Caenorhabditis elegans: one gene and its partner. The protein of the gene in region 1 purifies or fractionates together with the protein of each later gene. This does not show direct contact. Each region holds a gene or a part of one and is shown on either strand. Other genes may lie near its edges.

What was found.
Region 2: the proteins of C18A3.3 (region 1) and haao-1 fractionate together in Caenorhabditis elegans (co-fractionation; one large-scale study listed by BioGRID). This does not show direct contact.

What each region holds. Positions count from the first base shown.
Region 1 is NC_003280.10:5,713,194-5,720,405, reverse strand, and holds C18A3.3 (putative rRNA-processing protein EBP2 homolog), read right to left. Parts: upstream 4,100-7,212; coding exon 4,028-4,099; intron 3,985-4,027; coding exon 3,874-3,984; intron 3,823-3,873; coding exon 3,608-3,822; intron 3,559-3,607; coding exon 3,336-3,558; intron 2,986-3,335; coding exon 2,678-2,985; intron 2,631-2,677; coding exon 2,537-2,630; 3' UTR 2,368-2,536; downstream 1-2,367. Other genes in the region: damt-1 (DNA N6-methyl methyltransferase), read right to left, coding at 1-243; zipt-3 (Zinc/iron permease), read right to left, coding at 553-690, 768-923, 977-1,291, 1,673-1,744, 1,799-2,108, 2,161-2,261; C18A3.10 (uncharacterized protein), read left to right, coding at 4,806-4,861, 4,905-5,053, 5,101-5,111; lelo-4 (Late ELOngation arrest), read right to left, coding at 4,156-4,324, 5,283-5,482; Cytotoxic granule-associated RNA binding protein tiar-1, read left to right, coding at 5,601-5,743, 5,816-5,912, 6,249-6,344, 6,552-6,972, 7,051-7,212. UniProt on the Caenorhabditis elegans protein: Required for the processing of the 27S pre-rRNA.
Region 2 is NC_003283.11:9,501,082-9,509,143, reverse strand, and holds haao-1 (3-hydroxyanthranilate 3,4-dioxygenase), read right to left. Parts: upstream 4,235-8,062; 5' UTR 4,134-4,234; intron 3,540-4,133; 5' UTR 3,456-3,539; coding exon 3,212-3,455; intron 2,949-3,211; coding exon 2,718-2,948; intron 2,676-2,717; coding exon 2,561-2,675; intron 2,510-2,560; coding exon 2,395-2,509; intron 2,347-2,394; coding exon 2,261-2,346; intron 2,216-2,260; coding exon 2,161-2,215; 3' UTR 2,026-2,160; downstream 1-2,025. Other genes in the region: acs-14 (4-coumarate--CoA ligase), read right to left, coding at 192-519, 573-684, 801-1,010; swt-5 (Sugar transporter SWEET), read right to left, coding at 4,703-4,819, 5,376-5,495, 5,611-5,673, 5,732-5,824, 5,875-5,998, 7,293-7,370, 7,618-7,742. UniProt on the Caenorhabditis elegans protein: Catalyzes the oxidative ring opening of 3-hydroxyanthranilate to 2-amino-3-carboxymuconate semialdehyde, which spontaneously cyclizes to quinolinate.

The DNA of each region.
Region 1 (7,212 bases):
TAATTCAGTGCCAACATTTTTAATCTTTAATGCCATTTGTTCCATCCTATTTGAATTTTCTGAAGTTTCTTTAATTTTTCTTTTTCGATTTGAAATTCCGCGACGCTTGATGGCTTCGAATTGCGAATCGGGCATAAATTTTGAGCTGATCTCATATAATTCTGAGCGAGTTTTCAGATTTAGTTCTTTGAAGACTGAATCGTAGTATTTCTCTTCATCAAGAATCGCAAATTCTGTGTCCATGTGAACTATTGACATCTAAAACCTCATGTTCTGCCAAAAAAAAGCTCATTAACAGGTGATGAATGTATTTCCCAAAGACCCAGAATCTGTAGACATACTGAAAGGGAATTCGAAAAATGCAAATTTTTATTATTTAAAAAAAAAGACCGAGATCAGAACGATGAATTTCAAAATTATGCATCAATGGATTGGGGGAACTTTGGGGAGAATGCTCACAACACATGAATTAAAGTGACTACAATTGAAGAAATGATGAATAAATATGAACAAAAAAGATAATAATTGAAAATAAGATAAATTAAGATGAGCTCAATGGTGCTCACCAATGAGTGATTTTATAATTACAAATATTCCGATTCCAGCGGCCACGAATAGCGACTTGACGAGTGAAATCCAATGAGAAGAAGAATGATTTGAGTGTGAATGAGTTGTGTCAGCAATAACATTCTGAAAATTGGGAAATCAGTTTTTGAAATAATAGTTTTTGAAATAATTGAAATAATAAAATATTAAAAAAAACTAACATGACTATGTCCATGACCTCCTTCTCCGCTGTCATCTGAATGCAACTCCATTGGAAGAAGCTCAACAAGAGCCACGTGTACAAAAGTTCCTGCTGCTAATCCTTCAAGCCAATATCTTCCAATTCTTTGCCACATGTCGTTTTCGATTCCGTCAATCTAAACTTTTCAAATTTAAAATTTAGAAAATATCGAGTTGATAAAAAATATACCGTTGTAGCGAGAATCATTCCAGCTGGAATTGTAGCTGACAAGAAGATTGATGAAGTCCATGCATACTTTCTTGAAGCATTATGCTTTGCCAGTTGAACTCCATACGAGACACAACACAGCACTTCATGAAAAAGGACGGCAATCAAAATCTGCCAAAACGCGTTTGAATCATTCTGAACGCCGAGAGCAACTCCTTCGAAGAATGAATGAACTGACATTCCAAGAAGAAGAAACCAGACACGAATGTTCATTGATCCACCGGGGGCAGTTCGACAATGTCCTGATGAAGGTGCATGGTGATGAGGGCTCGTGTTCTACAAACGTTACAAATGAAATTTGAAGAAATAATGCTTCTTGGTGTTTTTTTTACTGTACTCAAAATGACACAAAAATGCATTTTTCAAAATATTTTCCAATTTCAGCTAAAACCTCTTTTCCGTGTCATAGTGGATGGCAATTGATATTTATTTAGTTTTTGTTCTACTATGTAATTTTTTTTCCTTGATCCACGATAATGATATGCAAAACAGAACAATATTTTTTTTATAAAAACAATTTCCGTTTGCTACAACACGGAAAATTTGGCAAAGCTTAAGATTTTTTCTAAAATTAGGCTCTTTTGACCATTTTTGAGGTTTGAGTAGAATAAAGCAAATATAACTTTTGATCGATTTTCTTATTTTTAAGGTATGTACCTGTCGGAAAATAATTTCATCTGCATCATCATCCATTGCAACAAGTGGAACGTGATCCTCTCCTTCTTCCTCCTGAAAACTTTTTTTAAATATTAAACCCGGGAAATTCAAAAAACAAAAGCTTACATCGTGGAACTTGTTCATTTTAATTGAATCACTTGTTGCCAGTGGGCTGTGTCCTGAATGTGAATGGCCATTTCCGATTGAATGTCCGATTCCGTGAATGATTTGCTCAGTTATCAAAATTATCAGGAATCCAATAATAACTAATTGATCAGTCGATGGAATCCATCCATAACTATCAACTATCGTCTGATTCCCTCTTAAATGCATTTCTTGATGTCTGACATGAGGGACAAGTCCGAGGAAACACGTGGCAATGAAGACACCGCATGAAGCACATCCCAGGAATGAGATTGATGTTTTTGAAGCGTTTCTGAAAAAAAAAATTTCTAGTTTTCATTTGTTATTTTGGAATTTAAACTGACACACAACATGTCCTTAGAAAAGTGTACGGTATCGATGTTGAGATCAGAAGAAGAATGAAAACAGCAAAAGCTGATGTTGTCATAAACAAAAATTGTTCCATTTTTAGTGCATTTTCTGAAAAATCTGCTTAGCGATTTTGATTTGGTTGGACTTTTTAAAAAATACAAGATCGATTAAAAAACGATTTGGAAGTTATTCAATGCTTGCAACAACAAATTATTTTATTGGACATTACTAAAATCAGAAGATCAACAATAAAAATGGGATAACTGTAAGAACAAAATTTTGAAAATCGAAATCCATAACAAGGAAAAATCAACAATGATGTAACAAAAGTTCATAAATTGTAAATATAAAAATAGGCTTAACGTTTGCTTAACGTCTTCCGCGTCCACCGCGTCCTCCTCGTCCACCACCACGACCACGTCCACCGAATCCTCCGCGTGGAGCTCCGAACAGATCATTGAAGCTGAAAAAAATAAAATAATTTCAGGAAAGACCGATGAAGCTTCTTACCTCTCCTTGTTGTTTCTCTTCATTCCCTTCTTCTTTCCTCCATAACCGAATTTATCCGATTTCAGTTTTCTTTTGAGTTCTCCTGCGTTTCTCATCGATCCTCCTCTTCCAGCTCCACCTCTTCCGGCACCACCTCTTCCTCCTAGACGGTCACCGAATGCTCCAGTCGGTGCGTCATCATCCTGATCAAGACCATGTCTTTTCACGTTGTTCAGCATATCTTCCAATTGTTGTTTCATTCCCTTTTTGTGCTTCTTCACAGCTTCTGCGAGGTTCTTTTTCTCTGTATTCTTGGCAGCGAGAACTTCCTGAAAAAAATGATATTCATGTTCAACGATTTTATTTTTGTAAATTCTACAAAACGAATCAGAGTAAATAGCATGTTTTACCAATATTTTAAATTTAAATTTAGTGATGGAAAATAGAAAAAATGTTTTATCTGGAAATAGATTTTTATTTCAGTTTGAAACAATTGCGAAGTGCTCAAAAACTGTATCAAAGTTGGATATTGCTGCAAAAAAATTTTATCCTGCAACTTTCAACTTGCAAACATTTTTGAGTGTTTGTCCAATCGAACCATTAGAAATTAAAGTTATTTTTCCGTTATTTTAATTAATTTTTAGGCTGAAATTTTTCTGGTTTTTTGAACAACCATTACCTTCTGAACCTTAACAGCAAACTTTTTCTCTTCACGAATACGGCGGAATGCTTCTTGTCGTTCCTTCATTTCTTGAATTCCGAGAAGTCTCTTGCGAACTTTCTGCATATGAGTGTCACTCTTTGCCATCTCTGCATAGTAATCTGTTGGTCGCAGAACTTTGATACCAAGATTCAGAAGACGTGGATAGGCGATTTGAACAGCTTTTTCAGCTTGCTTATAGCTTTAAAAAATTAGAATTTTCGAAATTATACAACCCTCGTGCAACTTACAAATTCAACTCTCTTTGGAAGTCGTCATTTTCCACTTTCTTGTCCATTTCAGAATGAGGAGTTACCACTTCAAGAGTCTCAACCCATGGAAGATCTTTTGTGATTTCAGCCAATTTTTCTTTCATTTCAGCACTTTTGTTGATGATCGGACGCTTTTTGGCTACTTGAATGTTGAGTCCATCTTTAAGAAGACCAGCAGCGAATGCGGCTTGGAGCTGCAATCAGTTTTTTTTTTTGAAAATACTTTTTAAAAAAGTAATTCTCACCTCTCTTTCATCGTCATCGCCGTCTGATTCAACCTCTTCGATATCCATCGCTTCCATTGGTTTTTCCTCGATAGCATTATCGAAGTCAAATTCGGATCCGTCGGAATCGCTCTGAAATTTTGAATTATTTTTTAAAACAAAGTATTTTCCTCACTTCTGGTTCCGGTTGACGACTTTTTGAAGTGCTGGCGAGCCGCTTGGCGAGCTTATTCATTTTACGAACCATCTGAAATCGATAATCAATAAATCCATTAAAAATTAGAAAAACACAATTATAAAATATTAAAAACGCTGAAAACGTTTTCTTTTGAAGATCGAAGAATAGTAAAAAATTAACAAATTATTATTACAAACATTCACAAGAACAAGAAAAATATAATACATGAAAACAAAAAAATTATTAACAATTATTATTGCACATCGAATCGAGCACCAATGAGAAGACGGCTGGCTGAAAGTTTTTAAATAATTAGCTTGCACTAAAAAATTAACAAAATAAATAGTATTTTAATACATGAAACTTTGACAAGAAACATTTTATATCGGTAATGTGTCTTCCCAAAAAACAGCCAATAAATTCTTGGCCGAACTGCGGCGCATTGAAATTTCTCTTCCACAAAAGATTTCTCGTTCATAATGCTGCGTCCAAACCCGAAAAAATCTCAAATGTTCTTCATTTTTTTAAATTGAACTGATAATTGAAGAGAAAAACGATTATCGGAAGCAGCATAAAGATATATTGACCCGAAAATTTACGAAGAGACCCCCAGAAAACATTATTTAGATTGAATTTTCTCTTTGAACAAACACATGAATAGGTTTTTAGTCTATCAATTGATAAGAGTCGGAGTGCAATGGTATGTGCGATGTGACTCATTTTTCTTCGATTTTTTGTACAATAAGAAACAATTTTTCAGAAAAATTTAATGAAAATGAATAAGTCTAAAGATCGAACACCTACAGTATCCACGATTGAGAGCTATGGAACGTAAGTTTTAGAATCAAATTTCTATGATATCTGTACTTTACAGAGATATGCCGCATGAGCATTATCGTTACTATAGAGAAAAAAATATATGTGGCATTTCTGGACCAATATGCTTTTGTTCAACTCTGATCTTAGTGGGATTTTTGATTTTGCTAGGAATTTTGGCGATAGTTATATTTTTCATACTTCATCGTGAGTACTAGACGTCCAGTTCTTAATATTAAGCATGTTCTTTACAGATACGTTATGAAACGAGTGGTCAGCTTCTCACTATCAACGACAAAATTATATTTCTTACTATTCTAAACCCTAAAAATGGATTTTCAACGTTTATACATGAATGAAAACATATTTTACGCCTATTGTTTGATTGGAATGAATTCTAAATTGATTTGATGTTTTAAAACTTTAAAATACTCACCATTTTTGCGGAGGAACGGGCTGAAACTTAAAATTATTTGCAGAAATTCGAAACTGAAAACTCTGTTTTGAATTGCCGCTTGAGTAAGATCCGCAGGGTGACACGCAGCGCACTGACCGCAACGCTCTAGACGACACTTGCGAGCATAGTTTTGAATGTGAACGCAGCGTTCCCGCACTGTTTTTATTGGTTTTTTGCATGTTTCTTTGTTTTTTTAAGTATTTATTAAACGTTTATCTCTCTTTACGATATTACGACATAAATTATTTTCTATCTTCTTATTCGTTTTCTTTTTTACAGGGATCTATCATTTAAGCCATGTCCTTCTTCAACCCACCAGCAAACTCCAACCATGGTTACAATGACGACGTCAATACTGGTTACAATGCCCGAATGCATTCAAAACTCGCCGAAAGAGAGGGATTTCATCTCGGAAACGGTTCAGATGAACCAAGAACTTTGTAAGTTGGGTACATTGGAAAGTTTCGAATTTCTTGTTGAAAATTGTCAATTAATTTACTCTTTTGTTGCAGGTATGTTGGAAATCTTGATTCGACAGTCACTGAGGACTTTATAGCGACTTTGTTCAATCAAATAGGATCGGTTACAAAGACCAAAGTTATTTTCGACGTAAGTTTTTCGCTTTGGAACAAGACTAATCTTTACAGAAAACTCTTGCTTGCTCGCGGTACGTATGATTTTTATCCGCTTTTATTTTTACTTTTAAATGTGAATCTTTTTGATTATGATGTTTTCTAATTTCACAGGAATTGGGGTACCTGGCTACAAATGCACAAGGCGGCAACCAATCCACACCGACACTGAGACAGTGTATACCTTTTTCTTTTGAATTTTTTGTTGTTTTAATTAAGTACTAAGAGGAAAACATGCGTTTTGAATAGATTTTCATAGAGATTGAGAGAAAACCCGGGAAATCAAAGTATTAGTCAAACGTTTTCATTTCAGGGTTCTAATGATCCATATGCGTTCGTTGAGTTCTCTGATCATGGACAGGCTTCCCAAGCTCTTCAGACGATGAACAAGCGACTTCTTCTTGATAGAGTATGTTTTATTTGAAACGACAAATTAACTCCTGTATAAAAAACAAAATTTCGATATGATTCCACTGGGTTCCGATGTAAAATTTGTATTTTTTTAAGTGTTAGCAATATAGTTTATTTGCTTAAAAAATTAAATTTCGTTTATGTGTCATAAATAAAAAAAAGTAAATGTGAAAACCTATTTCAAAATCAAATTTGTTATTTTCAGGAGATGAAAGTCAACTGGGCCGTGGAGCCGGGGCAGCAGCAGTCAAAAATTGACACTACCAGACATTTCCACGTTTTTGTTGGAGATCTCTCGTCCGAAGTTGATAACCAAAAACTGCGCGAAGCTTTCCAACCATTTGGAGATGTTTCGGACGCCAAAGTGATCCGTGACACTAACACCACTAAGTCAAAGGGTTATGGTTTCGTTTCATACCCGAAAAGAGAAGAAGCTGAGCGTGCTATTGAGCAAATGAATGGACAATGGCTCGGAAGAAGAACTATCCGTACCAATTGGGCTACAAGAAAGCCAGGAGATCAAGAGAAACCAAGCCATTATAATGAAAAGTCATACGATGAGATCTACAATCAAACTTCTGGAGATAACACTTCAGTCTACGTCGGAAACATTGCTTCACTTACTGGTAAGTCAACAAAAATTTAATATTTTATAATACTTTCATTGAAAAATTCTAACGTCGAATTTATAATGTTTTTTGCAGAAGATGAAATCCGCCAAGGATTCGCCAGCTTTGGACGAATTACCGAAGTCCGCATTTTCAAGATGCAAGGATATGCATTTGTGAAGTTTGACAACAAAGATGCCGCTGCAAAGGCTATTGTCCAGATGAACAACCAAGATGTCGGAGGACAGCTTGTTAGAT
Region 2 (8,062 bases), on another chromosome or scaffold:
TTTTTCAATTACTTTTCAAAAAATGTACATAACGTTATACTGATTCTTCTGTATTGATCTATGAAATTGTTTTCTTGGCCCTTATCTTTTTTTGCGTCATAGGAAGGTTAAAGTGTAACCATTTTACTGTTAACTTTGTACTTTCACACCTATTCTGTCTCATCATCATCATCTTTAAATTTCAAACTTACGCAAGATACATGGAGATCATGGATGTAAAATTGTAGTGTGATAGCATAACACCCTTTGGTGGTCCAGTGGTACCACTCGAGTATGGAAGAACGAGTAAATCATTGTGAACATCAATTGGAACTTGTGGTAGAGCAGTGACTGGAGTTGAAACCACTTCATTCCAAGATACAACTCCTGCTGGAAGAGAAGATCCAACTGGTTTTGGGATGACAATGATCTTTTGGATGTTTGGCGATTGCTTCACAGCAAGAAGAACTTTTGGAAGAAAATCTTCGTAAGTAAAAACAACCTTTGCGCGAGAATCAACAAATTGACGTTGAAGCTCATCTGAAAACAGAAATTGCGGGTTGGTGAAAGTAACTTTCATCAATTTAACTTACAGTCAGTGAAAAGTGCACTAGCTCCAGATACAGCTCCACCGTTGATGGCACATCCAATGAAAAATGAAGTATAGTGCCAGACGTTTGGAAGAACAACAGCAGCAACATCTTTCTAAAAGATATCAAAAATTTAAGGCATTGTCTTGAACAAATTGAAAGATTTTTGAAATACTTCCTTTCTCTTGTTGAATTATAAAATTCCCAAATTTTTAACATAATGCCACATACCTTGAACCCAATGCTATGAAGATACATAGCGACAGCAAAAGCATCCTTACGAAGTTGTTCAAAAGTAATGAAATGTTTTGGATTATCTCCGCTCACAAATGCAATTTTATTCTTTCCATCGGCAATTGTTTTATCAATTGCATCAAGGAGCATCTCATGGTACGGACGCTCGGAAATCTTCACTGGTGGATATGTAGAGTCGTGTGGCATGGCTGAAGTTTGAAAAATAAATGAATTTAGCAATAACAATCAAAATATAAGAACTGGGCAAGAGGACAGCATGGGTAGCCTACAGTGTGGCCGAAGGTCAATTTAGAAAAAGATAGAGACTGATAAAGACGACAGTTGATAATAGTAAATAGGAAAACTACAGTGCTTAGACGTTATAATGTGGTCCATTTATTGTAGTCTTTGTTTTTTGGCAATTTATAACATTGATTCAACTGTTGAGGAAAAACCGTTAGAAAATTAAAAAAAAAACCACATGAGCGCGGGAAATACTTATCATTTCAGTTTCCGATGCTCATAATCCTAGACAATTTCAGTTAATACTCAATGAAGACAACGAAAGAAAAAGAATAAATGTACACAAAAAGGGCATATTAATGATAAGGGTTGCAAAACGAAAAATGGGCTATGAACAATAAAATAAAAGATCTGTAATCGTAATCAGATGTTTTTAAAGATCTGAAACTTGGATTGTACGTCATTGATCATATTAAAAAGATGCTCAAAACAAGGAAGTACTGGCCAAATTTCAACAATCAAAGTTCTCGTGACGATTTGACAGTAAAAAATGAGGTATTGTGAACATTTTCTAAATTATAGTTTTTTTCCAACCGAGAAGTTATTTTAAGTTATTATTTTCAATCTTCCCCATCAAATTTAAAAACAACCCCTTTGAAAATTACGGCTAAAAGGCATTTATTATTTTTCTGCTAAAAAATTTTCGGAATGAGTTAACGTTTTTTTTTCTAATGAAATAGAAATCATACTAAAAATAGTTATGTAAACTAACTACAAAACAAAAATTGGATTCTTTGTATTTTTAACCAATTTTACAGTTTTTACAGTGACATAATTTCCTGAAACGAACAACGAGGTCTGAAAGTACAAATTTTCTGAAGCTTTGAAGAACATGATGGTTTTGCTGAACCGACAGCGTGTGTTACACGAGACATTTGACATCGATGATAATGAAACGGAATTGATGTTATCAGTTGGCCACGATTGCATGTCATTCATTTTGTTATAAATCAAAATTGAAATTACATTTTGGAATAAAGATAGAAATATTGAAAAAAGCATTCATTCAATCAGCCTATATGGAAATTGACTTTTACAAAATTGAAAAAAAAAATTATGCTGGCATTCTGATGGTGATAGCAAATCCTCCTTTGACATTAAGAAGACACCTAAAACAAAATTATTTCAAAGAACCTATAATTCCGTATTCTTACTTTGTGTTCGGTTTTATCCTAACCATGGTCTCCGATTTCATTGCATAAGTGAACCCGCTCTCTTCTACGACCGCAAATGTGTTTTCCTAAATGATACATGAATTTTTTTTGGGATTTTTCTGTTTTTGCCATACCTGCAACCAAATTAGCAACTCTACAGTTCCACTTTCCAAATCATAAGATCCCTCTCCTAGCAACATAACTTCAGTTTTGTACTCAGGTGCTCCATAAATTCTCACTGGTCCGTTTCTGAAAACTTCTCAAATTAACTATCCGAAACAAAACCAACTAATTTCTTACTTCACTTCACTGATATGATCATAGATAAATTCTTTTCTATTAATAGGTACGGGTAAATCAGTCCATCTTGCTTCGTATGGAGCATTGCATGCAAATGTTCCTTTTCCTGGTTTACCTGAAACAAAAAATCGGTGAGCTCACACAACTACAAACCAACCAGTTTTGAATTCATTCGATCCATAAAATTCTTTGATTAATGGAGGTAAATCCTTGACAACATCAGTCAAATAGAACCATCTTTCAAAGAGTGTGATATTGGAAGAACCAACAAGAAATCGAACACAATCAAATTCAGTATTCTTTCGTTCACGTTCAACGACAAGACCAATAGAGTTGGAAAATCTTTGAGGTGAATGTTCTACTCTTGCTGGCAACATGAACATTTCCCCTGAAAAATAGAGAGCTCAATTTTGAGTTTTGATTCAGATTATCTAACATTTGTGAAAAAAATAATTCCAAAAAATTTTTGACAACACAGATTTAGTTTCCGTTTATAAATTGTGAAAAATTCTCAATTTTCAGTCTAAATTTTTTGTTCATGGAATTTTAATTTAAAAAGCTAGTTAAAAAGTTATCTAAGAAACCATGTGAGTTTGTGTTATTAATTAATTAATTTACAAATTCAAAAATAAATTTTGTGATGAATCCTACCTTGCTTGATTACTAGATCACGGACTTGACCCTTTTCAATCACTTTCAGTACCATATCCCCTTTTCTCTGGAAGAAAAACTCTTCTCCTTCTTCCAAATGAAAATCTTTTCTTTGATTTGGTCCTCCAACGTAGAAAACTTTCAACTGATCCGAGAACATACACTTGTTACAAACAGGTGGTACAAAATCCTCTTGATTATCTTGAATCCATTGTGGAATCTCAATTGCAGTAACTCCGCTCATTGTTATCACAGGTGGTTCTGCCAGTTTGAGTTGAGGCTTCTGTTGCTCTTCGGTAGAAACGGAAGTCGTACAGACTACTTGCTCCTGATGCGAAATGAATAATTTAGTGGAGGTGAAGCAACTCATCGATTGACAAGGGAATTAGCTCAAGACGAATTGGTAGAGAACTGAGAGATCGGGTTGAAATTGAAAAAAGACTGGAATATATGAATGGCAAGTAAAAGTGACATTTTGACCTCTATAATTATCACAAGAAACGAGAAACGGACAATAAATCGTCGAGAAATACCAATACAAGGCGTTCTTGGGAACGCTTTGAAGTTCAAAGGAACAAAGCATTCGTACCCACCTATTACAAAGTTATGCATGAGAACACATTTTGTAAGTAGTCAAGTTGCCAAAAATTGATTTTAAGCCATAAAAATAATCCTCAGATGCCATAAAGAGAATATGAAAATTTACATAATTTTGAGAACGGCAGTGAGTGTGTTCAGGAATTGATACGATTATGAGCTAAGTACAGTAATCCCCAGATGAAAATTTCGAATTCAATAGAATGTTCAGAGAGTCTCTAAAAGGTTTGGATGTAATAAAAGAGATTAAGAATAGATAATATAATAAACGAATGACCTTCTTTCATATACACCAATTAATAATATAACCTGCCATTCTTCTTACCTTCAGTTTATATTTCTCATATAAATATTGCAGTTTATTGGGTTTTTTGGAACATAAGTTGACACATTCCATCTCCGAAACTTCTCTTTTTCTAACCTAAATTATAAAGCTAAAGTCATAGACGATCGAAGAATTTGTCAATTCGATTACAGTAACATAGACTAAATCACCCACAAAAAACCGAAATTTTTCAAAAAATTGTATGTGGTTGAGACAAAGCGGTGTTAATGTCCGATTAACGCGACGAAATGATAAACGTGCAATGTCACATCTTCTTAATTTCGCCCATCTTCTTCTTCTTATTTCCGTTTTTTGTGTCTTTTTTACATTTTTCTTATTCTCGTATCTAAATCTCCGTGATTTGCTTATTCTTCGCTGATTCAAGTGTCGCTTTTCAATTCTTGATTAATGATAAATGTTTGACCGTCTTAAGGAACTGGTACCCGTTTATTTCGAAAAATTGAGAATTGGGAGTGGGAGGAGGAGAGAGAAGCAACATTAAATTGGTGTTGGAGAGAAAATTGATAGAAAACCTGAGATGCTTTGACCAAAACACGAAGCATTCTGGGTTACATGACTGTTGGAATTGGTGACGATTTCAAATTTTTCTTCTTTTTTTCCGTTGGATACACGAAGAACATCGAGAGAAGTGAACCATCCATACAGAAGAAGATCACGTTGGCTAACTGAAAAGTTGTAAAATTGAATTTAGGATTATCTTAACACATTTATTGGTGCAAAAAATTGTCCACATACTTGAAGTTAGTGTTTTACATCTAAAAGCAACGAATTTTCAAGAATGAAGCGTGGCCTAGAAACTGAGAAAACTCGGTCACTTTCAAAAAGTTGAATTTACACGTGGTGTCAGGCTGTCCCATGTCGGTTTGATCAACGTAGATCTACGAGAATTGCGGGAAATTAGACGCTGACTTCTCTACTGATTTAGCATGGTTAAGAGCGTGCTGACGTCACATTTTTTTGGGCAAAAAATTTCCCGCATTTTTTGTAGATCAAACCGTAATGGGTCAGCCTGGTGCCACGTTATTAAGAACTATCTCAAGAAATCTTCTCCGAAAAACCAATAGAAAAACTATTTTAAGTACATTACTCTCAATCTTCAGAGTGTTCAGAAAGAACCTGTGAAAATTAAAGATAAACCGCCGACCGAGTTTTAGATCTTTCTAGGCCACGTCGAAAATGTGACCCTTTGATTTGATAACAGTTAAAAAATTCCGAACAAACCAGCATGTAAAAATCATCAATACCAATACTATAAACGATCGCGTGGAGCTCCATTACCCACGTGAAGACCACTGGAGCCAGGGGTACAAAATCTATACATTTCGATGTTACTGCTTTGTACTGCAAAATGAAATTTGGAGGTATGGGGAATTGAACCCCAGACTTCTCGCATGCGAAGCGAGCGCTCTACCCCTGAGCTATACCCCCGACGGCTAAACGGGTAACTAGTACTTACTATTAGATACGGACAGACCAGAGACCCAGCAATTTGAGCGCCAGATGCGATGCGGCCAGTGAACTGAAAGAGACATAGAGAAATGAGAGTGTATATAAGAAAAAGGGACGCAGACACTCACTTCTTTCCCGTCTTCATCATTCATATTACCAATGTACAAGAAGAGTAAAGACAGAGCAGCTGCAATTCCAGTCATTAGACGAATTAACTTTCGCTGAAATTAAAAACAAATATTTAAAAAGAACAAGATCCAAATATAAATACTCTTTTGGTACGGTAGAAAATGAGTGCAATCACGAAGAATAGTTGCATTGAAACTGCATATGTCTGCAAAAGGATAAGCTTTGTGTCCCGAAGAAATATTGAATACCGAAGCCATAGTGCAGACCTGAAACTTTTGGAATTCGTTGTACAGTTTTATTATAGCAGCAATTACAGAACCATTACAGTAATCCAGTTTATTTTGTGAACTGAATACTGCAATATCGGAGAGTCGGAATAAAAAGAGAGGCAGAAAAAATTGTGCCCTGGCTTTGAAACGGTGATCCGACTATGCCATATTGCAGTATTCATGGAGCAAATGCTCTCTCGATACAGTACTTCATATTTAAGAGAAACACAATATGATATATTTGGGACGTGATTGGCCTATATAGGATCTTGATAGATGTCGACTGCGAATTCAAAAAAAGTTTCCCAAATGTTCGTTATTTAATGCCCAAGCTACAAGCTACGAAATTGGCAGAGTGACAATTATTCTATTGAAAAGTGTAGGTTTGAAACGTTATAGTTCTGTTGGAACAAGGCTTAAAGAGTGTAATGAATGATATAAGAAAACATGAGAGCTGAAGATGGAGATGGATCGACAATTTCCAAATAAGCTTGAGAAAGTTAATGAAGAAATAAAGTAACGTTTCACTTCAAAATTGTTTTTTATTAGATGCAATAAATGGAAGCTAGATGGCAAAAGATGGTATCTACCAAAACCGTATTTCTTTACGTAAATGCAAATCTGATAGAGGTGAAGGGAATTTTTCATATTGTTTACGCTGCCAAACTACTCATGATCTTCTAAGAAAATTCATGAAGGACATCTCATATTTCAAAGAAAAACTGATCTTGATTGCGGTGAAGGTGGTAAAGTAAAATGGTGAGAATTAGACAAGTTACTAGTACAACTACAACTTAAGTTGAACTTTGTACAACTATGAGCATTTCTTTGTTGTTTTTTATTTATATCCTATGAACACAACTCAAAAACGTGTGCAGTCGTACCACTTTTTTAGATTTTGTCAAGTTCGAAGTACTGGAATATCACAAAAAATAAACAACGTACAAAGTAAAAAGTCGGAAAACTAAAAAGTGTATTTAAGTACACACATTTTGCCTTATTTAAGTAACCAAAAACATATATTTTGATACATTCGTGGTGTCAGAAGTGTATTAAAATACATTTCGAAAAATTACTTGAATACCAAAAAACTAAGTGAGCACTGATTGGTTTCATATTCTGGTAAAAATAAATAAAATCAGACTGGGAGACTAGCACGAGTTGGAAAACTGTTTTTTTCTGTAGAGTTAGATTTCACATTCTTGTCCAACTTTTTTGTTTTTTTTTTCTTTAGAATATACTTAATTTTCCTTTAAATAATAATAAATAAATGTTTAGGGCAAACTCTTACCCAATAACTGCACAAATGTATGGAATGGGAGTATCACTGTCACTGCTTTGCCTTCGTACCCATTTATGAACAGCTTGACTGAAATTTAAATACTTTTAACTATTTTCTTTTAAATTTACCAGTTTTGTTAAGATAAAATTATATTTTGAATGTAAAATAGATATTGTGGACTTTTCGAAACACATTTGTTATTGATATTCGACGTTTTTCTTTTGTTCCCAGCTAATTTTAACCACATTTAATCTGCCTCCCACGGAAGTGAATAAAGTTTATAGGACAGTTTCGACAATCTGCCAAGATTATATCTAGAAAAAAAGTTACTTACACTGGACTAGTAATTAAAGCAACTGCATGAAGAGCTGTAGAGGTTAGAAATAATGACCAGACAAGATTTGATGTATACATGGCAAAGAGCCGAGAGGCAGAGACCGTACCCAAGTCGATCTCCATTCTAAAATAATTTTAGTTAAATATTTCAAATAATTGGAAAGGGAATAATCAATAATTGAATTGAAACATGAGAAAAAGAAACATAATGAAATGCATGGAAAAAGGCTATGTACTTCTGCAATCGAAGGCTTATTCTTTTCTTTTTGACGCCCCATATCTCGGCTTTGCATCTGAATACTTAGCCGCCAGTCAAATGGGAAGAAGACGGACTGTTAGATGTTGGCTAGAAAGGGTTAGAGAATGAGAGAAGGATGAGGAAAAAGAAGGTGAACCGGACATATAGGAGAATAAGAGGTGGGACCCAAATGAAAAAATGAGAT